Linked DNA regions of Neurospora crassa OR74A. The main gene of each other region encodes a partner of the protein of the gene in region 5 in a complex. Links are inferred from orthologs where the notes say so. Each region holds a gene or a part of one and is shown on either strand. Other genes may lie near its edges. The genes, in order: NCU02687, NCU10467, NCU08427, NCU04548 and NCU01746.

Region 1 (4,287 bases), on a different chromosome or scaffold from region 5:
GGAGAGGAAAAAGACGGAGGAGGAGAAAGGGCTGGACAAGATGACTTCCAAGTCCAACGGGACCAACAGCTCGCACACAAAACCCAACTCCTTAAGCAACAACTCACCAGCATCAAAGAAAAATACGCCGAGTATCTCTCCATGCGAAAAGCTCTCCTAGAGCTGGTCACCACCCAACTTCGCTCCCTACCGTCCCTTGATTTCCCCGCCATCACTGCCTTTTCCTCCTCTCCTTCAGCGGCATCTCCTGAGCGATCTTCAACACAAGCAGTAGCAGCAGCGGCAGCAGCAGAGGCGTCTACACCCGCTCCCATAATAGACCACCTTCTCACCCCAACCCTCACCCGCCTCCTCACCCTCTCTCACGAACATAAAGGCCTCATGGCTCACAAGGCCCACGTAACCACCCTCCTCACCAAGCAGCTGAGGGAAAACGCCCAGGTGCTGGATCACCTGGTGGAAGAAAGCCAGTTGATACCCGCCCACGCCACGGCAGTAGTAGTGCAGAAGAAGAAACAGGACGATGACCCCAACGCCATGATGTCATCGCGTCTAGTCAACCCGTGGGTATCAGCTGCCGACTCGGCCAAGATCGCAACTTTTGAGGTGGTAGTGGAGAAAATTGAGAAAGGGCAGATAGCGCTGGAGGGAGCAATTCGCATGCTAGGCGAGGCTGATCGGTTGTTGGGACGTGGGTTGCAGCAGCAGCAGCAGCAGCAACGACAGCAGCCGGTTAAAGCGGCTTGCGGAGAGGAGGAGGGTAATGATGATGATAATGATGGCGATGATGATGAGGTGGGCGAGGAATCTGACATATGGCTTGTCGAAGGGCAGAAATCGCTGAAAATCACAAATGCAACTGGTGGATCGGGACTTGGGACGAGATACGATGAGGGAGGCAGGAAGGGGAAGGAGACAATTGGTCACCGTGAGGGAGGGAGCTTGAGCATGTGGAATATGGTGGATGTGCATGTAGGACTAGAGAAGTCTGGGTAGAGGCAGCCATAACTATCGTGTGTTGCGACGGGAGACACCTCGGAACACAACTGGTGGGCGAGGTGCCAGGGATAAAAGACCATTGTCAAGCATTTGTCAAGAAAGAAGTCTAGGACTAGAAACACCAAAATATGACCTTGTAGTGCGATGTAAATGACCTGCCATTTTCTGTTGCCCAAACCGAAACTCCGAACCCAGTGATATGTCGCCTATCTTTGAACCATCTGCTTCTGTCGTACCCTTTCAGACTCTTTAAGCTTTGGCCGTTACCTCCCAGCCATGATACCCGATATCCGTAGCGCCAGGTCGAGTACGGACAGATGTTCGTCTGCGCCGTCCACCAGCCTCTTATCCACCTCCGAGAACACCATAACAATCTTGTTCTTCTGCACATCCGGGATCATCTCGTCGAAAACCACCGCCTGGTAGAGCTGCGTCATGGTCTGCCCAGCGCTCCAACCATCCGCCACCATTTCCTCGACCACCTTGGCAACCGCAGGGTACGTATCCACCCCAGCGCGGGGCCGCATCGCTTCGAGTAACCTCTGAATGGTATCGTCCGGGATAACACCAGCGATATCCTCCACGACCTTGACCGTAACCAATTTGGCGTCCACTTCCATCTCGTCGTCGCCTTCGGTTTCTTTTTGCTCCCCGTCTTTAGCTGTGGCTGCCACGGCACCAACTAGCCTTGCCGCACTCTGCAAATACGTAATCGCCTTTCTCAAATCGCCCTCGCTGCACTTGATCAGCGCATCGACAGCTCCCTCTTCTAGCCCGACACCCTCGAGCTGAGCAATCTCCTCCAGCCTCTTCTTGGCGTTCCCCTGGTCGAGGCTCTTGAACCGAAACTTGCTGCAACGACTCGCCAACGGATCGATAATGCGAGTGACGTAGTTACATATAAGACAGAAGCGGGTGATCTTCGAATACGTCTCCATAGTGCGGCGCAGTGCGCTCTGGGCGTCTTGCGTCATGCTGTCGGCCTCGTCGAGGATGATAAGCTTGAAGGGCGGACATGGGTAGCGCGCCTTGTAAGCCGCGGAGGGATTGGTAAGCTGCATGCGAGCAAAGTCTTTGACCTTTTCGCGGACGATGGAGATACCACGCTCATCGGAGGCGTTGAGCTCTAGGACGCGGGACTTGATGAGTTCGGGGCCGTAGAGCTCCTTGGCGAGAGCAAGGATGGTCGAGGTCTTGCCCGTTCCTGGAGGGCCGTAGAAGAGCATGTGTGGGAGCTGGAGGGTTGACGACACAGGTCAGTGGCTGTCCAAATTTGACTTGAGAGAGACACGAAGGGGAAATAAGCAGGTTTGACAAACGTTGGAAGCCTGTAATGTTCTTTGGAGGACGGTAATGGTGTGATCTTGGGCTGTGACATCACTGAGGGTCTTTGGACGGCTGTCGAGGAAGTCGTCAGAGGTTAGCTGGTTGAACTGCCGGCATTGAACTTGACCACCCTTGCATGACATACTATTTCTCTACCCATGGTTGCGCCCTGGGAGTTTCCTTTGTCTGTTTTTCCGGGTTTGGAGTGCCATTTGCAGCGGCCGCCTTCCTGGCCTTAATGTCGAAAAAGCTTGCCATGATAGGAATAGATCTTGGCCAGCAAAGTTGCGAAGGGTACGTTTTCCTGAATGTCAAGAAAAGAGAGAACGTGGGTACTGGGTGAGCGTCTCGCTGTCGTCAATCAAGGTGTCGCAACAATCTATTGTTGAGGGGAGCTCGTAATAGAATGGTGATAGTAAAGTAGAACTCCAAGCAGCACTTTACGCGATCACAGGAAGAGAGACCGCGTCTGGCGCGTTTCCTTTTGTGGAGCCGCTTCAATTAAAGTGGATCTCGCAAGACCCTAGCTCCTAGCCCCCTCCCACCCGGGGCCGTCCGCTACCTGGGTAGAGCTCCGAATGTTGGGTTTTGTCCCGTCGGTGCCTGGAGCTTCTCCACGTCCAACAACAAGGCGGACTGCCCTGGACACGGAGACGGGACCGGGGAGCCGGGCAGCCGGGGATCCAGGGCTCCCTCTTTCCAACTTGCTTCTGTATTCTCCCGAAAATCATACATTTCCGTTTTACCACACATGTTGATTTTACAACGTAGTGACAATGGATGCGGGGTTCGAATCATGGACCTCCGATGTCGTCAACGCTGGGACATATGAAAGCTCAAACAGGTATATCAATCACCCTGCCCGCTTCCGTCTTCCATGTTTATGCCCTGTCGTGTGGTAAGGCATCGCACTGTAAGCTCCAGTCTCGTACGGTATTCCACTTCTGGCATTTCGTTGCTGCAACCCACCTGCATCTTGCACTTGCAAATGCGGGGCGGCTACCCTTGAAAATGGTATGTAGCAGCCCACCACCAGGTGCCCCAAGTTGTCGGGATGTGACTGATTGACACTGCTTCACACTAAAAAGTACCTGAACTGGTATGTGGAATAAAAGAATGAATGGAAACGGAACCCTCCATGTTGCTTTCGTTGATATTGATCGATGCTGATTACGCACGCACGAGGATACCTTCGGCAGCGTATAATATACACGGCACGTACAAGTAGTCAGAGACGCTTTCATCCTTCGTTCTTTGGTTGCCACCTCGAAGTAGAGATAGACTGTCATTGATTGCTTTGAGAAGCAAAAAACAAAAAAGCAAATACAAGTTTGACCAACGCTGGAAAGGTTGTAATTACACACAACAGTACCTACCTCTACCTTGCAAGTTTACATAGTACGTTGTGCATTACTGAGTGCACCAATCGCTTGCTTGCCTTGGATTTATTCACTCAGTTCCTTTCGTTTGAACTCTGCCCTGCCCCGCACTCAACCTTACCACTTCCTCTTCTTGCCTGAACTCAGCTTGGTGTTGTCGTCTCGCTCGCTACTTCTCACCTCAACCACCGACTGCTACCTGAATGGGAAACAGAAAATACAACTTAAGCCATCACTCATCATTCCTCCAACAAAACATCCGCATAACGAAGACTTGGCCTTACTACCTTGTCGGCAGCTACCCGGCCATTTAATCTCCAGAGTAATTCCTTCATCGACCACTTCGCACGACTTGTCCGCCAGTGTTTTTCTTCACGTCGCCCAATCACGGTCCCCGCCAAACTGCCTACTGTTTACTACTACTTTGCCCGTGGGGTCGACGTTCGCGATTTCGAGTGGTCCATTCCACCCTCCATCTTCCACCAAGACTTGGTGAGCTCCAAGTCAGAAACCATGGACCAATCTGTATTTCGCATCACCAAGGTTCGTTTGTCAACATATCGCATTATTCCCAGTCCCGGCA
Region 2 (4,296 bases), on a different chromosome or scaffold from region 5:
ACGGGTTTCGATGACCTCTTCAACACGATTCCCATCGCCGCAAGTCCCAGCATTTTCAAGACTACATTTTCCGAAGCAGAAATCATGAACAACCAGCAGCAGCAGCGTGCCGGCCAAGCAGTCCACATGAGACTGAGGGACGAGCCACGACCTCAAGTAGCTCCTCGACAACGTCCCACAGTTGAACGAATGCCTTCTAGACTCAGGAGCACATCAGCCTCAAACCCCAAGATCCCACCATCGTTCAATTATCCTCCACCCCCAGTCCCGCAAACGCCCCAATATACCCCTGTTTCTTATGCCTCGAGTTCCCGCTCATCGAGCAGAAGCAGGCAGGCTTCTTACACGAGAAGGGGCAGTGAGCAACGCACAGTTCCGTCAACTCCGAGCACCCCCAGCCCGACAACGCCGCATCATTATCACCAGCATCATGTGCTGCCCGCTACATCCTATGGTAGCAATAGCCATGTCCAGCAACCACATAAAAGAATGCCACAGGCTGTTGGTATTAATGATCATGACGATGAACCCGAGGCGTTTTACGGGCGAGGACCGGTAATACCGGTTGGAGGAATGACGGTAGGGAGAGATAGTAGAGGTCGAAAGATATCTACCCAGCAGCAGCCGTCTAGGAGGACACACTCTGTTGACCCTCATCGCCGGGAGCCTGCTGCCGAGAGGGGACGCAACGGTGGGGCTAGGGTCAACGGGAGGTATTATCCTCTGGATTTGTTGTCGCCTGTTTCTGTGTGAAAGAAAAATATTAGTGTTGGGCATCTCGAAGAACTTACAGATTGCGATAATCTCCTTTTCTTTTTTCGGATGTGTTGTGAATGAGATTGACATGTTGAAATTGTGTCGATGAACGACTTCTTCTGTTACTCTTCTTGAATGGAGATTTTTGAGGGTTTGGACGGGTCTGGAAAATATTTACACACTGTACCGGGCAACCGGGTTGGCTATATAAATTGGAAAGTAAAAGATTCAATGACGGCACCAAAAGTTCACATGCCATGTTCCATATACCTACTACCTTTTTCTGGGTAAATTGCACATCTCACGAGGAACGACGCATCCGGATATTATCCACTCAATGGAATCCTCTACACTTCATGCTCCGCTGCCGGCTACACCGCAAATGCTACATGCTAACCATCTATACTCCTTTCTCTGTAGTGCAGTATGCTATGCCAGTTGACTAAACATCAAAACCAACGCCGAGTAAACAATTCAATTCATAGCTTTCGCTCGGGTATTATCTTTTATGAACCTCATTATTCCTGCCCCAGGATCACCCCCTTCGCAATTTTGTTTTTCTTTTCTTCGCGAAGCCCCCCCTTATTCACTTCTTCGGTACCGCAAACTTCTTCGGATCCATGTTCAACTTACATAACCTCGCCACGCACCCGCTCAACTGCAACAGTGTCTGGACGCCCTCCAAAATCTTCATATGCGTAAACCCAATCTCCTTGATAAACTCGAGCTTAGCGTGCTCGCTCAGCGTCGGAATCGTCTTTGTGACCTTGAACATGGTGCTGATAATATCATGACTGGAATACCCCAGGTCCCACAGCTCCCGCAGCCCGTCCAGAGCCGCATCAACATTACCCTCGTAGCAGGCCTTGAGCATCGCCTGCACCTTGATCGGGTGCGGGCTATCCACAACTTTAAAGACATTATCCCCGCTCACGAAGCCGAAGCCGGCGTGTGTAGATTGCAGGTTATTAATCGCCTGCCGCATGTCTCCCTCGGCGCTGAAGACCAGCGCGGCCAGGCCGTCGTCGCTGTACTCGACTTTTTCGGCTTCGATGATTTGCAGCAGGCGTTTGACGACTTGCGCGTCGGTGAGCTTGGCGAAGCGCAGGATTGCGCAGCGGGATTGCAGAGGTTCGATGATCTTGTTGGATTGGTTGCAGGCGAAGGCAAAGCGCGTGGTGTTGGAGTAGATTTCCATTGTGCGGCGAAGCGCTTGTTGGGCGCCCGAGGTCATGCTGTCGGCTTCGTCGAGGATTACGATCTTGTGCCGACCTGGGGGGAGGGTGACTTTCTTCTGGGCGAAGCCTTTAATGCGCTGGCGGACTACTTCAATGCCTGTTTGTTTTTTTGGGTTGGTATGTCAGTATGGGGGGGTTTTTGTGTTGTTTGGCGTAGCTCATAGCCACAGAGCTGGATGCTCTTGTCCTTTTCTAACCTCGCTCGTCACTGGCATTCAACTCCAGTACCGCCTCCTTGTACGCATCACCTAGTAATTGCCTTGCCAGACACAAAACACTCGTCGTCTTGCCGATACCAGGCATGCCTGAAATAATAAAATGGGGCATGTTGCCCTCCTTTGCGATAATCTTGAGGCGCTCGATCGTTTCTGTGTTGCCGACCACATCGTCAAGGAAAACTGGTCTGTACTTTTCTACCCTGTTCGTAACTGCTGGTCAGCCTGATGCCCTATGGAGATCGAGAGTTCATTGAATCCTGATTAGACTCACCATGGTAGCTCGTAGGTCGGGGAAGAGCTTGCGGAGACCGAGGTTGCAGCCTTGGAGATGGAGGTTGAGGACTCGCCCCTCTCTTCTGCTTTGGCTGATGGCATTCTGGGTGGACAATAATCGAAGTTTTCTTGTGCGGATGGCCTGTTTCAAACCCCCAGATTTCTAAGTATTGCGATCCTCGATGTGTTGTTTGTTGGTTTACGATTTCTGAGCTGTCTGGAGGAAAAGGTCAGTGGAGCGGCGCGACGCGTCGCGTTTATCGATTTTAAGTGGTTTTGCATGGGTCTGGCCGAGATCGTCATACCCTAACCCTAGGAGTGCTTCTAGCAAACTCTCAGTGTCCGACCTTGTTCGTTTGTCTTGATGGGATAAAAAAAACCAAAGAAAAAAAAAATCCAAAAAAAATCGTGATGGCTCCTTCGGACTTGGAGGTTTTGAAACTCTTATTAGACTAAGCTTCTGTTCAAGCCAGCGTTGAGAAGAGCTTAGTCTGACGTTGCCACAAACATCTATCCAGAGGCCTTTGGCAGCACATCCCTTCGAGTAACTCGACAAATGTGCGTGCTTTCCCATTACAGGATTCGCTACCTCCATGCTTAAGTTGCGCAAACCACCCTCAAAGTGTATTACGGAGCGTAGTTAGATCCGAAATGTGTGGTCGGGGTGGCGGGCGACGTGTGCATATCATGGAAGAGTACGAAATAAAGAAGGGGAGGGCACAGAGTATGGCATAAATGAGCTTTTTCTATCCTGTCTACCTCCGGGTATCCTCCCCAAGTACCAGTAACGCCTTATCAGTGATTTCTTACGTGCGGTAGTCTCCATTAATGGTACTATTCAGATCTTATGTCAGCAGTCGTCACCCAAACTCGAATGAGGGCGGATCAACTTACATGTACTCGTGGCTGTAGTCGCAAGTCCAGTAGGTAGCCTGCTTGTCACCAGTTCCGAGTCTGACAAGGATCTCAAGGTCCTCAAGCTCGAGGATCTCAGCAGCACGAGCCTCATCAACCTGCTCGGGTTCGCCGTTGACGAGCAACTTCAGCTCAGCAGTGCCGTCAGTGGGGATGAAAGAAACATTGGTCTTTTCAGGGACAACCTCAGAAACATCGTTGACGGGAAGGCCGGGCTCAGAAACAAGGGAGTAACCAGTAGCGCAGAGGATACGGCCCCTAATGACAACGTCAGTAGCTGCCGAAACGCATGGGATAATTTTCCGCAACTTACCAGTTGGCATCCTTGCCGTAGAGAGCAGTCTTCACCAGGGGAGAACGGGCAATGGTGCTGGCAATTTTCCTAGCGGCCTCCTCGCTAGCAGCTTCGACAACGCGGATAGTAACAAACTTGGTGGCACCCTCGCCATCACGGACGATCAGCTTGGCAAGGTCGGTAGAGAAATCGGTCAGGACAGTCTGGAAGGCATCGTAGTCGGGAGTGTTGGCAACGACTTCCTTTCCGCCAGCAGCACCATTGGCAAGCAGGGCAACGGTGTCGTTGGTGGAAGTGTCGCCATCGATCGTGATGCTGTTGAACGAACGGTCGACGGCGTGCTTGAGAACGGCGGGTAGTACGGTGGAGGAAACGGGAGCATCGGTGGCGATGATACCAAGGAGGGTAGCCATGTTGGGATGAATCATACCAGCTCCCTTGGTCATGCCGGCGATGCGGTACTCGACTGAAGGAGAGGAGGGAAGCTTGAAGGACCGGGAGATGAGCTTGGGGAAAGTGTCGGTGGTGCAGATAGCCTTGGCAGCCGTGAGCCAGTGATCGTGGGTAGAGCCCATGGCCTTGTGAGCCCGGGGGATATTGC
Region 3 (4,264 bases), about 1.5 Mb from region 5:
TTTATCATTGTGAGTTTTTCCCTTGCTACAGGATGGTGAGGGATGGGTGAGGACTGACTGAGACGACGAAAACAGGAAGGAACAATCACTGTCGCCGTCGCCGTCGCCGCTGCGTTTGTCTTGCCCGATTATCCCAACACCACGCGCTGGTTGAGCGAAGAAGAGCGGGCGTATGCCTCGTGGCGCCTGTTGGCTGATATCAACGAGTCGGACGACCAAAACAGTCGCTCGGTTTGGGACGGGCTGAAGCTCGCGCTCAGGGATTACCGGCTGTATCTCTTTGTGCTGCTGCAGCACTTGTCCCTGCTCAGCCAGACGTTCCAGTACTTCTTCCCCAGCATCGTGGGCACTCTCGGCTACGGCACGATCGAGACGCTGTGGTTGACGGCTCCCGTGTGGTTCGCGACCTTTTTGATCTCCGTCTGTGTGACGTGGACGAGTTCCAAGACGGGCGATCGCAGTTTGCATATCTTCTTCTTGATGCTGCTGGCTGCGGTGGGAAACGCGGTGGCGACGGGCACGACCAAGGTGGGAGCACGGTTCTTTGCCATGTTCTTGATGCCCATGGGAGCAGTTTCTTCTTGTGAGTGGTTTTTTCGTTGCTTTATCGTAGTTCCTGGTGAAGGTGAGGACTAACAGACCCACAGACCAAATCATCCTGTCGTGGGTTGCCAACTCGTTCCCTCGTCCCATGGTCAAGCGCTCGGCTGCTGTGGCTATTGCCAACATGTTTGGAAACACAGCGAGTATTTACGGGTCATACATGTACCCGGCTTCGGCGGCGCCACAGTACATACCTGGAGGTAGTGCAAATTCTGTAATCTGCCTTTTTGTGGGATTGTTGGCGTTGTTCTTGCGCTACCTGCACAAATGGGAGAACAAGAAGCTGGAGAGGGCCGAGGCGGAAGAGGCTGAGAACCCAGAGACTGCGGCTGTTGCGGCGTCGGGTGATAGGAGAGCAGCGGGATTCAGGTACATCTATTAAGCTGGATATCATTAGCTAGTCTCGCGATGAATAGTGATTACTTATCCATCTATATTTCTTGCCGTATTGTAGCTCTCCGTCGTGATATCCCCCTGCCGTAGGAAGAAAGGGGCATAATATAAAAGGTGGAAATGAGGAGTTGGTAACTTCAGTCGAAGAAGGTAAAATTTGATCGATTGCCCAAACGCCAGATGCTTAAACTCCGAACCATAGATGCAGACAAAACAACACCGAGTAGCTTTTTGCTTTTGAGTCTCAACAACAACAACCCTATCCCATCAGTTCTACACCATTCCGTATCGCACCCACTACCGCACCAGTCTGGATCACCTCTCCGGCTCCGCTCGCTACCCGATGCTCAATCTTGGCAAGTTCATCAAGCCATGTGATCATGACCTGCGGCTTGACTTCCAGCTTGACGATCTCTTCCGACAGAGCGGTGATAATGTCGGCAAGGGCCAAACCTTGTGCAACCTTGAGGGTGTTGATAGTCGACAGACAGGTTGTGACGTCGCTCGTGCTCAAAAGTGTGCTGAGAATCTTTTTGATGGCGTCGGGTGGTGGGGCGGCAACGCAGTCGTAGATGGTTCGAATGGTGATGGTTTCCCGTACAATGTCCTTTTCGGCGATCTTGGGGGCGTTCTTTGGTTGGAGTGGTGTGCCTGGTTGACCTGGGTTAGCTTGAGGCCCGCAACAGAAGGCGAGACGAGGACACCACCACTTACTTGACGCGTGGCAAGCCTGGAGCACGTTTAGTGCCCGACGCATATCACCCTTGCTCAACCGCACCAGCGCATCGGTAGCATCTGGCAGAATCTTGACGTTTTCCTCGTCAATGACCTTGTCCACCAAGACACGAATATCTTTTTCTTTTAGAGGGCTGAAACGGAACCGTGTGCATCTCGACAGGAGGGCTGGGCTGAGCTTGTGGGAGTAGTTGGCAATGATGCAGAAGCGAGTGTTGGCCGTGTACTTTTCCATGATGCGACGGAGGGCCATCTGCGCTGTGGACGTCATAGCATCGGCCTCGTCGAGAATAATAAGCTTGAAACCAGCCAGCCCCGAGCGCGAAGAGGAGGAGCCGAGGGAGAAGATCTGCTTGGTGGAGGCAAAGGTCTTGATTTGCTCGCGCACAACGTCGATACCACGGTCATCGGAAGCGTTCAACTCGAGCACCATCTGGCGCATGTTGGCGGCGCCATAGATTTGTCGGGCCAGGGCGAGAACGGTCGATGTTTTTCCGGTACCGGGGGGACCGTAGAATAGGAGATGGGGGAGTCGGTTCGTGTCGACAAACTTGTTGATGGTTGCGAGAATGTCTTGTTGGCCAGACACATCGGAGAGGGATACGGGGCGGTACTTCTCGACCCTGTCACAGGCTGGTTAGATATTTGATAGGCATATGAAGACATATGGGGGGCAATATCTACCATGGGAGACTGTCTTCTGCTTCAACAGGCAGGTTGGCAGCGCTTCGCTTGCCCTTGGCCGTGTTGGTGGCAGCGAACATGACGTCCTTGGACACTGGGACATCAATGTCCATTTCGTCTTCAAAGTCCGACATGGTGGTAGAATTGGGCTGGGTCGCTGATGTCGAGGCTGATGTGATCTGAAGTCTACTCTGGAGGTTTTGCGCCGACGTGAACTTTATGGTTGGGTGGTGTTTTTTACTTGGTGAGGCCGGGAAAGTGAAGCTGGGAAAACGCGTCGAGAGGAAGGACAGACGCGTCGGGCAACAGGCCCCTCGTGTGGCTGGTTAATTGGTTTTGGGCGCTGAGCCACACACGGTTAGTGGAGTATTGGTACCCCAGCCACAGTTTAATGAAGCTCAACTGTTCTTCCACTCATTCATCCATGGTCTCTGTTTGAAAACTTCAACTTTACAACCTCAAAGGCTCACCCTCACTTCACTCTCCTTGTTCTCTAGGATGGAATCTCTTCACATGTGGACATCCTCTTCTCTTAGTGAACTAAGTTTACTGCTCTCTTTCCAATGAAATTGAACCACCAATCACATCAACGTTCCCACTCCAGTTCTGGGTCGGGACGCCAATATTGAGGATGCCCGACCAAGTGACTCCTTTGGCTACCAGCCTCATCACTCCGTCTCATCCCAACTCAAACCTCTCCCACTTATCTTCAACTCGATCCCAGGTATCTCTGTACATTCGGCCCACACCCGCACGCTCAATGCGAACCCGACCATCCGTCCTTGGATCATCCTTTCGTTCGATCATCATGACGTTGACCACGGCTCTCTTCTCGGCTGTTGCCGCTTGCACCAGTTCCTCTTGCTCGAACTTGTCTGCGTCTGAAAGAAGAATGAACTCGTGTGTACCCTTCGAAATAAGACTCAACCGTTGTTCAACGAACTTTCTTCGGTGGGACCACGACAACCATATGGATCCAATCCACTCGTGATCACCTCCCTCAGGATGTGTCGCATGTGTGATGGCATACCGCGTCAACCGTGTTGGCCGGACCCGAGGTAGTGGAGGGACCGCATCCTCATTGCCTCGGTCCTCAATCATGAGTCTGAACCGAGCGACGCGAGCCTTCAGGTGTAAAAAGTAGGGGTCCGGGCCAAGGCTGATTTCTGCTTGATATCGACCAGTGCTGTTGGCCGAAAAGTCAGCACCCGAGTCGTAGTAGACTGGTATAGTCCACCCGGCCCATGCCCAACTTGGCCACAGGGGTCTTTCTGTCTTCTCATCCATATGGATTCTCTTCGGCTCCCGTCGTGGTCGCCAAAGAAGCCCTGGATGCAGGAGCTCCCCCGTGGGCATCCCGTGCACAAACTCGACATTCTGAGAAAAGAAATGATCTTTGATCACGTTCAAGATACCTTGGATTCCATTCACGCGGTCGGTTATGAATGTCATATTGCGACATGTGTATTGCCCTACCAGCTCGGGATATCGCTTGAGCTGGAACTGCAAATTAGGCCGCAACTCAACCGTGGGAGGAACTTCACTGGGGACAATACTGAAGTTTACCACTTGGTCAGCGGCGGTCAAGTCCAGGTCCCGACACTCGGCTGCAAAGTCTTCGCTCCAAGTGGCTTGTTGACACTGGAAGTGTACCGTGTCATCGACAAAGTACATATACCGCAGGGACAGAATACGCTCCTGGTAGGTCCATCCTCTTTCTTCCCATGTTGTTTTGAGCAGCGCATCCGGCCAGGCAACAGAGCGATTCACGATACCAAGGTCTTCTGAGATCTTGACTTCTTTCTGTCGGGCTTCCCGCGTCCCAGCCTCTACCCCAGGCAGACCAGCG
Region 4 (5,203 bases), on a different chromosome or scaffold from region 5:
AACGTTCAGTATTACGGTTGAAGAGAAGAAGGAGTTGAGTGATATCGCCAACTACGACGAGGTCAAGGAGCAGATAACGGCCAGGTTGATGAACCTCAAAGAGACGCCCAATCGACTGGAACGGCCGCTCATTTACCATCTTGATGTCGCCTCCATGTACCCCAACATTATGACAACCAACCGATTACAACCCGATTCCATGATCTCCGAGTCAACTTGTGCAGCATGCGACTTCAACCGCCCAGGAAAGACTTGTGACAGAAGACTACCGTGGGCCTGGAGAGGAGAGTACCTGCCAGCCAAGCGCGACGAGTACAACATGATTCGCCATGCACTCGAGAACGAGAGGTTTCCAGGAAAATACCCAAACAGCCCGATGCGGTCATTCCAAGACCTGAGCGCAGACGAACAAGCCACTCTCATCCGAAAGAGACTGCAGCTCTACTCACAAAAGGTGTACCACAAGATCCACGATTCCACCACGATTGTCAGAGAAGCGATCATTTGCCAGCGCGAGAACCCCTTCTACATCAACACAGTCCGTGACTTCCGTGACCGACGATACGACTACAAGGGCAAGGCGAAGGTGTGGAAGGGCAAGACGGATTCGCTCAAGAGCTCGGGCGCATCCGCGTCCGAAATCGATAATGCCAAAAAGATGATTATCTTGTTCGATTCCCTGCAGTTGGCCCACAAGGTCATTCTCAACAGTTTCTACGGATACGTCATGAGAAAGGGATCTAGATGGTACTCGATGGAAATGGCCGGTGTCACCTGTTTGACGGGCGCAACCATTATCCAGTTGGCGAGACAGCTCATTGAGCGACTGGGTCGTCCACTCGAGCTAGACACTGATGGTATCTGGTGCATGTTGCCGGCGACATTCCCAGAGAACTTTGTGTTCAAACTCAAAAATGGCAAGAAAATGACCATCTCGTACCCATGTGTCATGTTGAACCATCTGGTCCATGACAAGTTCACCAACCACCAGTACCAGACTCTGGTCGATCCAAAGACCTTCAAATACGAGACGCACAGCGACAACTCCATCTTCTTCGAAGTCGACGGGCCGTACAAGGCCATGATCCTACCCACCTCCAAAGAAGAAGACAAGAACTTGAAGAAGAGATATGCCGTCTTCAATGACGATGGCAGTCTTGCGGAGCTCAAGGGCTTCGAAGTGAAGCGAAGAGGCGAGTTGAAGCTCATCAAGATTTTCCAGCAGCAGATCTTCAAGTTTTTCCTGGAGGGTACCACCCTGGCGGAATGCTATAATGCTGTCGCCAAGGTCGCTAACCGCTGGCTTGATGTACTGCATAGCAAGGGTGCAACGCTTGCGGATGAAGAACTTATGGAACTGATTTCTGAGAATCGCAGCATGACCAAGACGTTGGAGGAGTACGGAAGCCAAAAGTCAACATCCATCACCACAGCCAAGCGCCTTGCCGACTTTTTGGGCGAGCAAATGGTCAAAGACAAGGGTTTGAACTGCAAGTTTATCATTTGCGCCCGACCCAAGAATGCCCCGGTCACCGAACGTGCCGTGCCGGTTGCCATCTTCTCTGCCGAAGAAGAAACGAAGAGGATGTATCTCAAGAAATGGCTCAAAGAGGAGCCTGCTGATACCGACCCTCGAGCACTCCTTGACTGGGATTACTATCTCGAACGTCTTGGGTCCGTCATCCAGAAGCTCATCACCATCCCAGCCGCTCTGCAAAAAGTTCGCAACCCGGTACCGCGCGTGCCGCATCCGGACTGGCTGCAGCGGAGGATCAACATCAAAGACGATAAGATGAAGCAAAAGAAGCTTACGGACTTGTTTGGGCCTACCACCAAAGGCCCTCTGCAAGATATCACCCACCTTGCGAACGGCACCCAGCTTGGAGATATGGAGGACTTTGGGAACTTGCTGAAGCCCAAGACTGTCAGTGATGCTATTTCCGCCACGCAAAAAACGGTGACGGCTCAGAAACGCAAGGATCCGGAACCAGCAGCAGCCGAGAACCTGGACCCGTTTGCGGCGCTTCCCAAGAAGATGCCGTCGCCTAGCGAGGATTACGCGGCTTTCTTGGAGTACCAGAAGCAAAAGTGGAAGCTCCAGAAGCAGGCAAGGGCTCGTAGGCGACACTTGTTTGGCGAAAGGCGTGGCAACGCGCAGAGCAACATCCAGCAGACGTTCCGCAGTCAGGCTGAGATGACATTCCGAAACACTTGGCAGTTGCTGCAGCTGAGGGCATCAGACAGTCCAGGCATTGTCGTTGCCCATGTGCTGATCGATGCCAAGATCCACACTCTCAAGATTAACGTGCCCCGGCAAGTATTCTTGAACTTGAAGAGTAGGGAACTGCCCGACATTGAAGTTGAAGGCTGCCATGTTGAACAGGTCAACCATACATTGCCTAATGGCCACTCTTCTGTGCATCTCTTCAAGCTTACGGTGCCGGAGGACATCTACTTTGCGGAAGCAGAAAAGTTCTCTCTGTTATTCAACCATCCCAGTGTGGAAGGCGTGTATGAGAAACAGCTACCGCTCAACATGCGCGCCCTTCTTCAGCTGGGAAATCTTTGCACTATCGACGAAAGCCAACCTGGTGTACTTGGAAAGGGTCTTGACCAAGGATTCGACCTGTCCGGGTTGAAGAGACCACTCAAGCCGAGAGAGTACTTGGGCGATGCCCGTATGGCCTACATCTATCTCTCCCACATTAGCGCTGGTGAGCGCCAGATCTTTGGTCTTTTCTCCACCACCAGTGACCAAGCCCACGTCATCATCCAGCAGAGGACCAAGGATGGAGGGCAAGACCTGCCAAACATCAACAAGCTCTATGCCGACATGTTGGCAAGGAGGAATCAGGAGGCCGCTGGAGCGGAGTGGCAAGAGTGTTTCCCGTACCAGGAAAAGCTGAATATCAAGATCACCCAAGTTACCACCCGCCGGAAAGCTTTCCTTGAGGTTGGCGACATTGTCAAGAAACTGAGAAAGGAAGAGTCCGGACCGACCATGGTGGTCATCCAATCCTCACAGCGCAATCTATTGGTTCATGAGATTCCCATCTTGGGGGAATTCCCTGTGATGCCATTGCGATATGATCAAGGGGACAGCTCACTGCCCCCACTAGGCTGGCAAAGTGTGGTGGCCCGTCGGTTGGTCAATCACTACCTCAGCCTGGGTTCCTGGATCACCCATATGACGGCTCTTGCTCGGTACGGCGACGTACCGCTATGCAACCTGGAGCGAGACGATCCCCGTTTCCTGATCGATATCGCATATGCTCGCCGGCTCATGGCCAACAATGTCGTGCTCTGGTGGTCACCGAGTCCGCGCCCCGACCACGCTGGTTATGAGAAGGACGATGTGGTTGGCCCACTCGATCAGGTTCAGATGCCGTCCGTCAACAATCCCGGCACTTATGCTTCGGTGTGTATAGACCTTGAGGTGCGGAACTTGGCTATCAACACCATTCTCACATCTTCGCTCATCAATGAGCTGGAAGGTGCGGATAACATATCTTTCAATCCCGCCGCCGATGCAACCGGTAGTGGAGACGGCGAAGAATTTCTTTATTCGGAGAACGCTTTTGCCAATGCTGGCGTGCAGGTGCTCCGTGAGATGGTCAAATCATGGTGGGCGGAAGCTTGCAAGGGGTCCACGATGGCCGACGTGATGGTTCAGCACTTGGTCCGTTGGGTCGAATCGCCAGCCTCGTGCCTGTACGATCGTGCTCTGCATTACTATGTCCAGATGATGAGCCGCAAGGCGCTCCTCCAGCTCATGGCCGATTTCCGTCGCGTAGGATCGCAGGTCATCTTTGCCAGCTCCAACAGACTTCTCCTCCAGACCACCAAGTCCGAGGTTGGAAATGCGTATGCATATACCCAGTACATTCTCAAGAGCATCAAGGGCAAACCACTCTTTCACTTTATCGACCTCGAAATCAAGGAGTACTGGGACTACCTGGTATGGTATGACGAGTTCAACTACGGCGGCAAGGCGACACAAGAGGTGCTCGAGCGGGACGAACAGGACCTGCAGATGATTATGCACTGGCAAATGGCAACCTTTCTCCCTGTCCGTCTGCAGCCCATCTTCCGCGACTGGGTCGTCGAGTTTATCCAGCTGATGCACAGCATCAAGCGACCCTCCTTTGGCAGCGACCCAACAGCCACGCCACGTCTCACCCAACTGCCCGTCAACATGCGCAATGGCAATCTCGGCGAGGACGGCGCCGTCGGGCAAATCATCCTGGGCAAAGCGTTCGAGAAGCCTCTCAAGAAGGAAATCGCCAACCTCATCAACACGCAAAGGCGCGAGCTCCTGCACCCGGAGCTGGCAGGCGATTACACATTTCCCCAACTACCGGGATCTCACCTGTCTCACCTGTCTATGTCCAATGCCAAGTCGAGTAATACCAAGAACGCGGCAGGAAAGAAAGTAGCAGCGTCGGCCAATCCGGTGCTTGAGCTGGTCAAGGCCCTGATGCAGGTTTTATCTTTGGACAAGAACATCACGCTCGAAGCGCGGCTGCTGCGCAAGGAACTCCTCGCCATGTTCGACGTACGCGAGTTCAGCAAGGACGGCGCGTTCCAAAACCCATCGGAAAGTCTGAAACTGGCCCAGTTCAGCTGCGAAAACTGTACCATGGCTAGGGACATTGATCTCTGTCGAGACGAGGACTTTATGAGTTTGGCGGCCGTTTCTGACGTGTCAGCAGCAGGCGGAGCGGCCGGCGGCGAGTTGGAAGGAGCTGCTCCAGGACAAGAAAAGGGAAGGTGGAAATGCCCTTACTGCGAAATGGACTACGACAGGAACGAGATTGAGGAGAGGCTGGTGGCGGAGGTGGAGGCCATGGTGGTGGAGTGGACGACGCAGGACCTCAAGTGCGGCAAGTGCGGGGCGCTGAGGGTGAATGAGTTCATGGAGCATTGTACGTGCAGTGGAGAATGGAGGGAGTTGGTCAAGAGGGAGGAGGTGATGAGACGGCTGAAGGTGTATAGGAATGTGGCGAGATATTATGGGTTGAGGATGTTGGGGGATGTGGTGGAAGGGGTTGTTGGGGGGTTGTGATGTGCTTTCCTGGGTGTTAATCTACCGTAGAGGCGTTCGAGGTCCATGAGGGTTACCCTGTCCGTATGTATGTTTACCTTTGGCATTGCAATGCAGGTGCTTGTTTTGTTTTATCTCAACCTCGTTTGGCTAACACGT
Region 5 (3,889 bases):
AGGGATCCATACCTAGGTAGGTAGCTTCCACTTCCCTATAGGTCTCTGGCGGTTGCGTGGCCCGGGACTCGGCCCTAACTGGAACTGAAGCGGGAACGAAAATGCGGGCCATACGAGCGTCGGGCAATGGATCATCACTACCTACAGGTATTGTTGCAGTGGTGATCCCATCAAGGGAACTCTCGCGGCAACTTGGAAGCAAGGGAATTGTGCATTCCCACTGAAAGCGCCCGCGCCCCTAGCAGCCAGTCAGAACCCGCTGTGGCGTCTGCTGCAGCATCCCCCACCTTTCAGTGGACAAATTTGACAGCTCCAACGACACCGGTTGGCGGGGCACCATCTTGACTTGCCTCGCTTGCCTCGAGCTTGCTTTGTTGATCCTCTCATGTTGACACCCCAGCTGGTCTTTTTGTCGTTCGACATGTGAAACGTGAATGAACAACGGTTTGAAGCGAGTCTACACTACGTTCAAGGCTTCAGGTCATCGGAGACTGGGGCGGGCAAGTGGAAGTCGATAGGATGCATCATCTGATCGGAGCCTCCAAGTCTACCTACTAGAATACACTAGCGAGACCTGGACTAGGTACCTCTAGGTAGTGTATACAATGATGACAGAGATGAAGCTATGTCGGACTTGGGAAGGAGCAAGCTGAGCTACACCGGTGCCTCACACCACCTTACACCGGTAGACGCCTTCACATTCTTTTTCCGCGACGAACCGGCCTCGAACTGCAACCTCATTCTTCACACATATCATTCACCGCTCTCGTCCTACCTATCATGGTATCACAGACTGGATCCAGACCCAGGATCCAGGGGACCTCGTGACCTCTCGTGCTTTTTTCATGGAGGACCCTTCAAACATTAGTCAGGAACCACAACGCCTACCTACTTGTATTGAGCTGCTAAAAAAAGTAAGATAGAAAATGAAAAAATTTGGGATGGGAAGGAGACAAAGGTCATATGACACCTTTTTATCTTCCATCTCTTCAAAGATAAACGTAGCACCAGAAAAACCGAGCTATATTAAAGACCACATGTAACGGAGTGTGAGGGGGGGGTTATAGGTATATCCACTATAACTCGTCAAATTCCCTCTGTCATCTTCAACTTCAGCACCTGTGTACCACACCACCCTCCTTTCATAAAAGTAGATAACAAAGCTACCCGTGGTGACTGTGAGGTTGTTCCATGGCCTGAACCTTTTTTTATTCCCTTTCCTGAGGAGCTATTCCTAACTTTCGCCACCACCAACCCCCTCCTCCACACCCTCCCGTCCTTAGTAACCCTAGGTCTGTTCAGAACCCCGTCCAATGAACTGCTCCCCCCTAGTAACCGGCTCCGGCCTCGTCCCAAAAACAATCTTGTACCTTATAATATCCAACACCTCCAACTCCTCTTTCTGTTCTTCCTCCTCCTCCTCCTCCTCCTCCTCCTCCTCCCCGTTCACCCCCTCCCGCTGCCGTACCCTCCTCCTCACAACCCCCACCGCCTTCCCCAGCCCCTTCACCTCCCCATGCAACCGCTGATGCTCGCCAATGTACATATACACCCTCTTCATCCACTTCTTGTCGTTGGCGTCAAAGGTGAGGGAGTTGGGCTGGTAATCGGGGAAATCGATCCTCCCTACAGGGATTGGAGTGATTTGTTCTGTAGAGGATGGGTCAAAGTCGCGTATGTTGAGAGTTCCTTGGAGTTCGAGGAGGGCGAGGCCCGTGGGGGTTTGGATCAGGGTGGGGAGTGGGTTGGTTGCACGTGTTGATGAGCTTGAGGAGGGCGATGGTTGGAGAGGACGAGGGTGGAGAGAAATTTGCGATGACATATCTGCTGGCAGTGATTGTGTGATGTGAGTTCTTGTTGTTGATGATGGTGGGTGATGTCGTTGATTGTTGATTGTGATTCCCGCCTGATTGTGATTTTCCTTCAGCTGGTCGATCTGATGACGAGGGCTCGTTAAAGCGACGCAAGTGAAAATCTTAGCAGGCTGGCCGTCGAGTGGTTGAGCTTTCCTTCATATGACCACCGTCTCGAGTCTGGGGGGAATGATCACGGTGATTGTTACGAGTTTGTCAAAGGCGCTGGTGAGAAGTTGTTTGCATGGAATTGCCGTCCAGTTCAGAACTTCAGTCCATTTACATTTTCCAGAGCAACAATGGTCCGTGCGCATATCACAAGAGAGAGAAAGAGAGAGGGACATGTCCCCTTTCCATGGCCGTCAACATGTTGCCGATTCAACTGCCCTTGCATACTGATCTTGATGCTTCTAATCATGCCAAACTGTATGTATGCCTACTTCAACATAATCCTCGTCGAGACATTCTTCTACTCAACCATCGTCCACACGCCAGACCCCCAAATCATGCAGTCATAACCAAGTTTGTTTTCCGTATCCAATCTTTTGTTACCCCTTTGTTCATCAAGCATGAGTTTCTTTTCTAGTCTCACGTCAATCGACCAAGCTCTACATACACCACTATCTCAGGTCGATGTGACTCGCCGATGAGTTGCTGCTTTGGATGAACAGAGCTTCAATCGCAGCTCTAGCCTGAGCTCTAGCCAAGAAGTCGCGATACTAAAGTCATGTAGTCAGCAATTACTCTGTACCCTGACTGCTCAAAAGACATCTGGAAAACTTACCGCAAAGCTAAAGTTCAAAATCAGCGCTACCATCAGTGCCACACTGATCACCAATGGGCCAAAGAAGTTGTCAAAGTCCTTGCCGCTCCGTTCAATGATCATCTTCCTCCTCGAGTGCAACAAGAAATACCCCCAGCCACCGGCAAACGCCGCAATGATGATGAACCCAACCGCAATCCACTCCGCCACCGTGCCCCTGCCCGCGGCTGTGTACAAGCTGATGGCCAAGCCGCCGAGCAGCACGCAAATGTGCTGCCACTTGAGGAACGTCCGCTCGTTGGCTAGCCAGACCTTGGGCTCGATCTGCAAGGGGCCTGAGTTCTTGAGCCACTCGGTAGGCTCCTCGACGCCGGGCGGCAGGGTCACGGAGCCACGGCGGCCGCCTTCGCCCTGGGCCCGCTTGAGACGCATGGCTTTGGAGTACTTGGAGAGAGAGAAGCCGGGGAAGACGGAGGAGAGGGTCATGGTGCCGTACTCGCTACGGCCCCCTTGTTGCTGCCCGCCATCCTGTTGCTGGCTGCTGCTGCTTTCGTTGAGTTCACCGGCCGGAGTGACAGCGGTAGGGGTCCTGTCTGTCGCCCCGGAGGCGGGGGTTTGCGCTTTGGCGCCGCTGCTCTCGGCCGCCACCCGCTCGGCGAGGTATGACTTGGCCACTGGAGAGCTCCGTGACGGCTTGAACGAGTTGCCTAGTTTGGTTCCGAGGAAACTGCCGACTACTTGCTCGTTCTGTGCACGGTGGGCTCGTTTCACCTCCTCCTCCTCGAAGGCCACTTGGGGATCCTTGCGGATATCGGTGTCCAGATCGGGCAGCCAAAAGGGCAACCTGTTGACGTAGTCCTCGAAAAGAGAGGCGACGCCTTGCATGAACTTGGAAAAGCGAGGGCAAGGGTGGACCAAATGCGAGGCCATCAGGTCCGTGACCCAGACAGGTCGCTTGCGGTTCTGGTCTTCCTTCAGCTTGATTTCCAACACTGCATAGGGAAACAGCGACACCTCGCTCTGGTTGATGTTTTTGAAGGGATAGGTCATGTTGCTGTCGTCGATATCGGTACGGTGCCAGTTGTTTGGATCACGGCACGGCCTATCGCGGTCGAGGGTATCCTCGCGAATGAAGGCAATGTCGGTATCGATAGACAGGCGAATGCGATCATCTCCGGGATTCTGGAAGGCCGTTCGGACGTAATTTGCGCGAACGACGGGCTCGAGCTTGTTGCTGCGAATGTAATCCTGAATAGCCTCGGCAGTGGAACGA

Evidence for each region.
Region 1: NCU01746 (region 5) and NCU02687 share a complex: the UniProt entries of both Saccharomyces cerevisiae proteins name them as parts of the CTF18-RFC complex. The link is inferred for Neurospora crassa OR74A from reciprocal best matches to the Saccharomyces cerevisiae genes CTF8 and RFC2.
Region 2: NCU01746 (region 5) and NCU10467 share a complex: the UniProt entries of both Saccharomyces cerevisiae proteins name them as parts of the CTF18-RFC complex. The link is inferred for Neurospora crassa OR74A from reciprocal best matches to the Saccharomyces cerevisiae genes CTF8 and RFC4.
Region 3: NCU01746 (region 5) and NCU08427 share a complex: the UniProt entries of both Saccharomyces cerevisiae proteins name them as parts of the CTF18-RFC complex. The link is inferred for Neurospora crassa OR74A from reciprocal best matches to the Saccharomyces cerevisiae genes CTF8 and RFC3.
Region 4: the proteins of NCU01746 (region 5) and NCU04548 are in contact, whole or in part, in a cryo-EM structure (PDB 6S2F), measured with the Saccharomyces cerevisiae proteins. The link is inferred for Neurospora crassa OR74A from reciprocal best matches to the Saccharomyces cerevisiae genes CTF8 and POL2. Residues at the interface, in NP_012061.3 of Saccharomyces cerevisiae: Glu40, Lys87, Gln88, Arg128, Leu130, Pro131, Met133; in NP_014137.1 of Saccharomyces cerevisiae: Arg1025, Met1036, Leu1037, Glu1038, Glu1040, Asp1041.

Annotation. Positions count from the first base shown.
Region 1 is NC_026501.1:3,202,920-3,207,206, forward strand, and holds NCU02687 (activator 1 41 kDa subunit), read right to left. Parts: upstream 2,759-4,287; 5' UTR 2,584-2,758; coding exon 2,471-2,583; intron 2,398-2,470; coding exon 2,319-2,397; intron 2,235-2,318; coding exon 1,263-2,234; 3' UTR 1,062-1,262; downstream 1-1,061. Other genes in the region: NCU02686 (hypothetical protein), read left to right, coding at 1-996; NCU02688 (ubiquitin-conjugating enzyme E2Z), read left to right, coding at 4,218-4,247. UniProt on the Saccharomyces cerevisiae protein: Component of ATP-dependent clamp loader (RFC and RFC-like) complexes for DNA clamps, such as the POL30/PCNA homotrimer and the checkpoint clamp DDC1:MEC3:RAD17 complex.
Region 2 is NC_026505.1:3,556,000-3,560,295, forward strand, and holds NCU10467 (replication factor C subunit 4), read right to left. Parts: upstream 2,697-4,296; 5' UTR 2,588-2,696; coding exon 2,484-2,587; intron 2,413-2,483; coding exon 2,192-2,412; intron 2,092-2,191; coding exon 1,343-2,091; 3' UTR 1,104-1,342; downstream 1-1,103. Other genes in the region: NCU01294 (hydrolase), read left to right, coding at 1-753; arg-4 (arginine biosynthesis argJ), read right to left, coding at 3,292-3,319, 3,380-3,658, 3,714-4,296. UniProt on the Saccharomyces cerevisiae protein: Component of ATP-dependent clamp loader (RFC and RFC-like) complexes for DNA clamps, such as the POL30/PCNA homotrimer and the checkpoint clamp DDC1:MEC3:RAD17 complex.
Region 3 is NC_026502.1:4,031,703-4,035,966, reverse strand, and holds NCU08427 (activator 1 subunit 3), read right to left. Parts: upstream 2,681-4,264; 5' UTR 2,550-2,680; coding exon 2,416-2,549; intron 2,355-2,415; coding exon 1,711-2,354; intron 1,648-1,710; coding exon 1,256-1,647; 3' UTR 986-1,255; downstream 1-985. Other genes in the region: NCU08428 (MFS transporter), read left to right, coding at 1-9, 76-583, 648-985; NCU10392 (hypothetical protein), read right to left, coding at 3,094-4,264. UniProt on the Saccharomyces cerevisiae protein: Component of ATP-dependent clamp loader (RFC and RFC-like) complexes for DNA clamps, such as the POL30/PCNA homotrimer and the checkpoint clamp DDC1:MEC3:RAD17 complex.
Region 4 is NC_026507.1:1,474,927-1,480,129, forward strand, and holds part of NCU04548 (DNA polymerase epsilon), read left to right. Parts: coding exon 1-4,925; intron 4,926-5,203. UniProt on the Saccharomyces cerevisiae protein: Catalytic component of the DNA polymerase epsilon complex which participates in chromosomal DNA replication.
Region 5 is NC_026502.1:2,561,729-2,565,617, forward strand, and holds NCU01746 (hypothetical protein), read right to left. Parts: upstream 2,096-3,889; 5' UTR 1,823-2,095; coding exon 1,289-1,822; 3' UTR 916-1,288; downstream 1-915. Other genes in the region: NCU01745 (SPX domain-containing protein), read right to left, coding at 2,474-2,572, 2,638-3,889. UniProt on the Saccharomyces cerevisiae protein: Essential for the fidelity of chromosome transmission. Required for the DNA replication block checkpoint.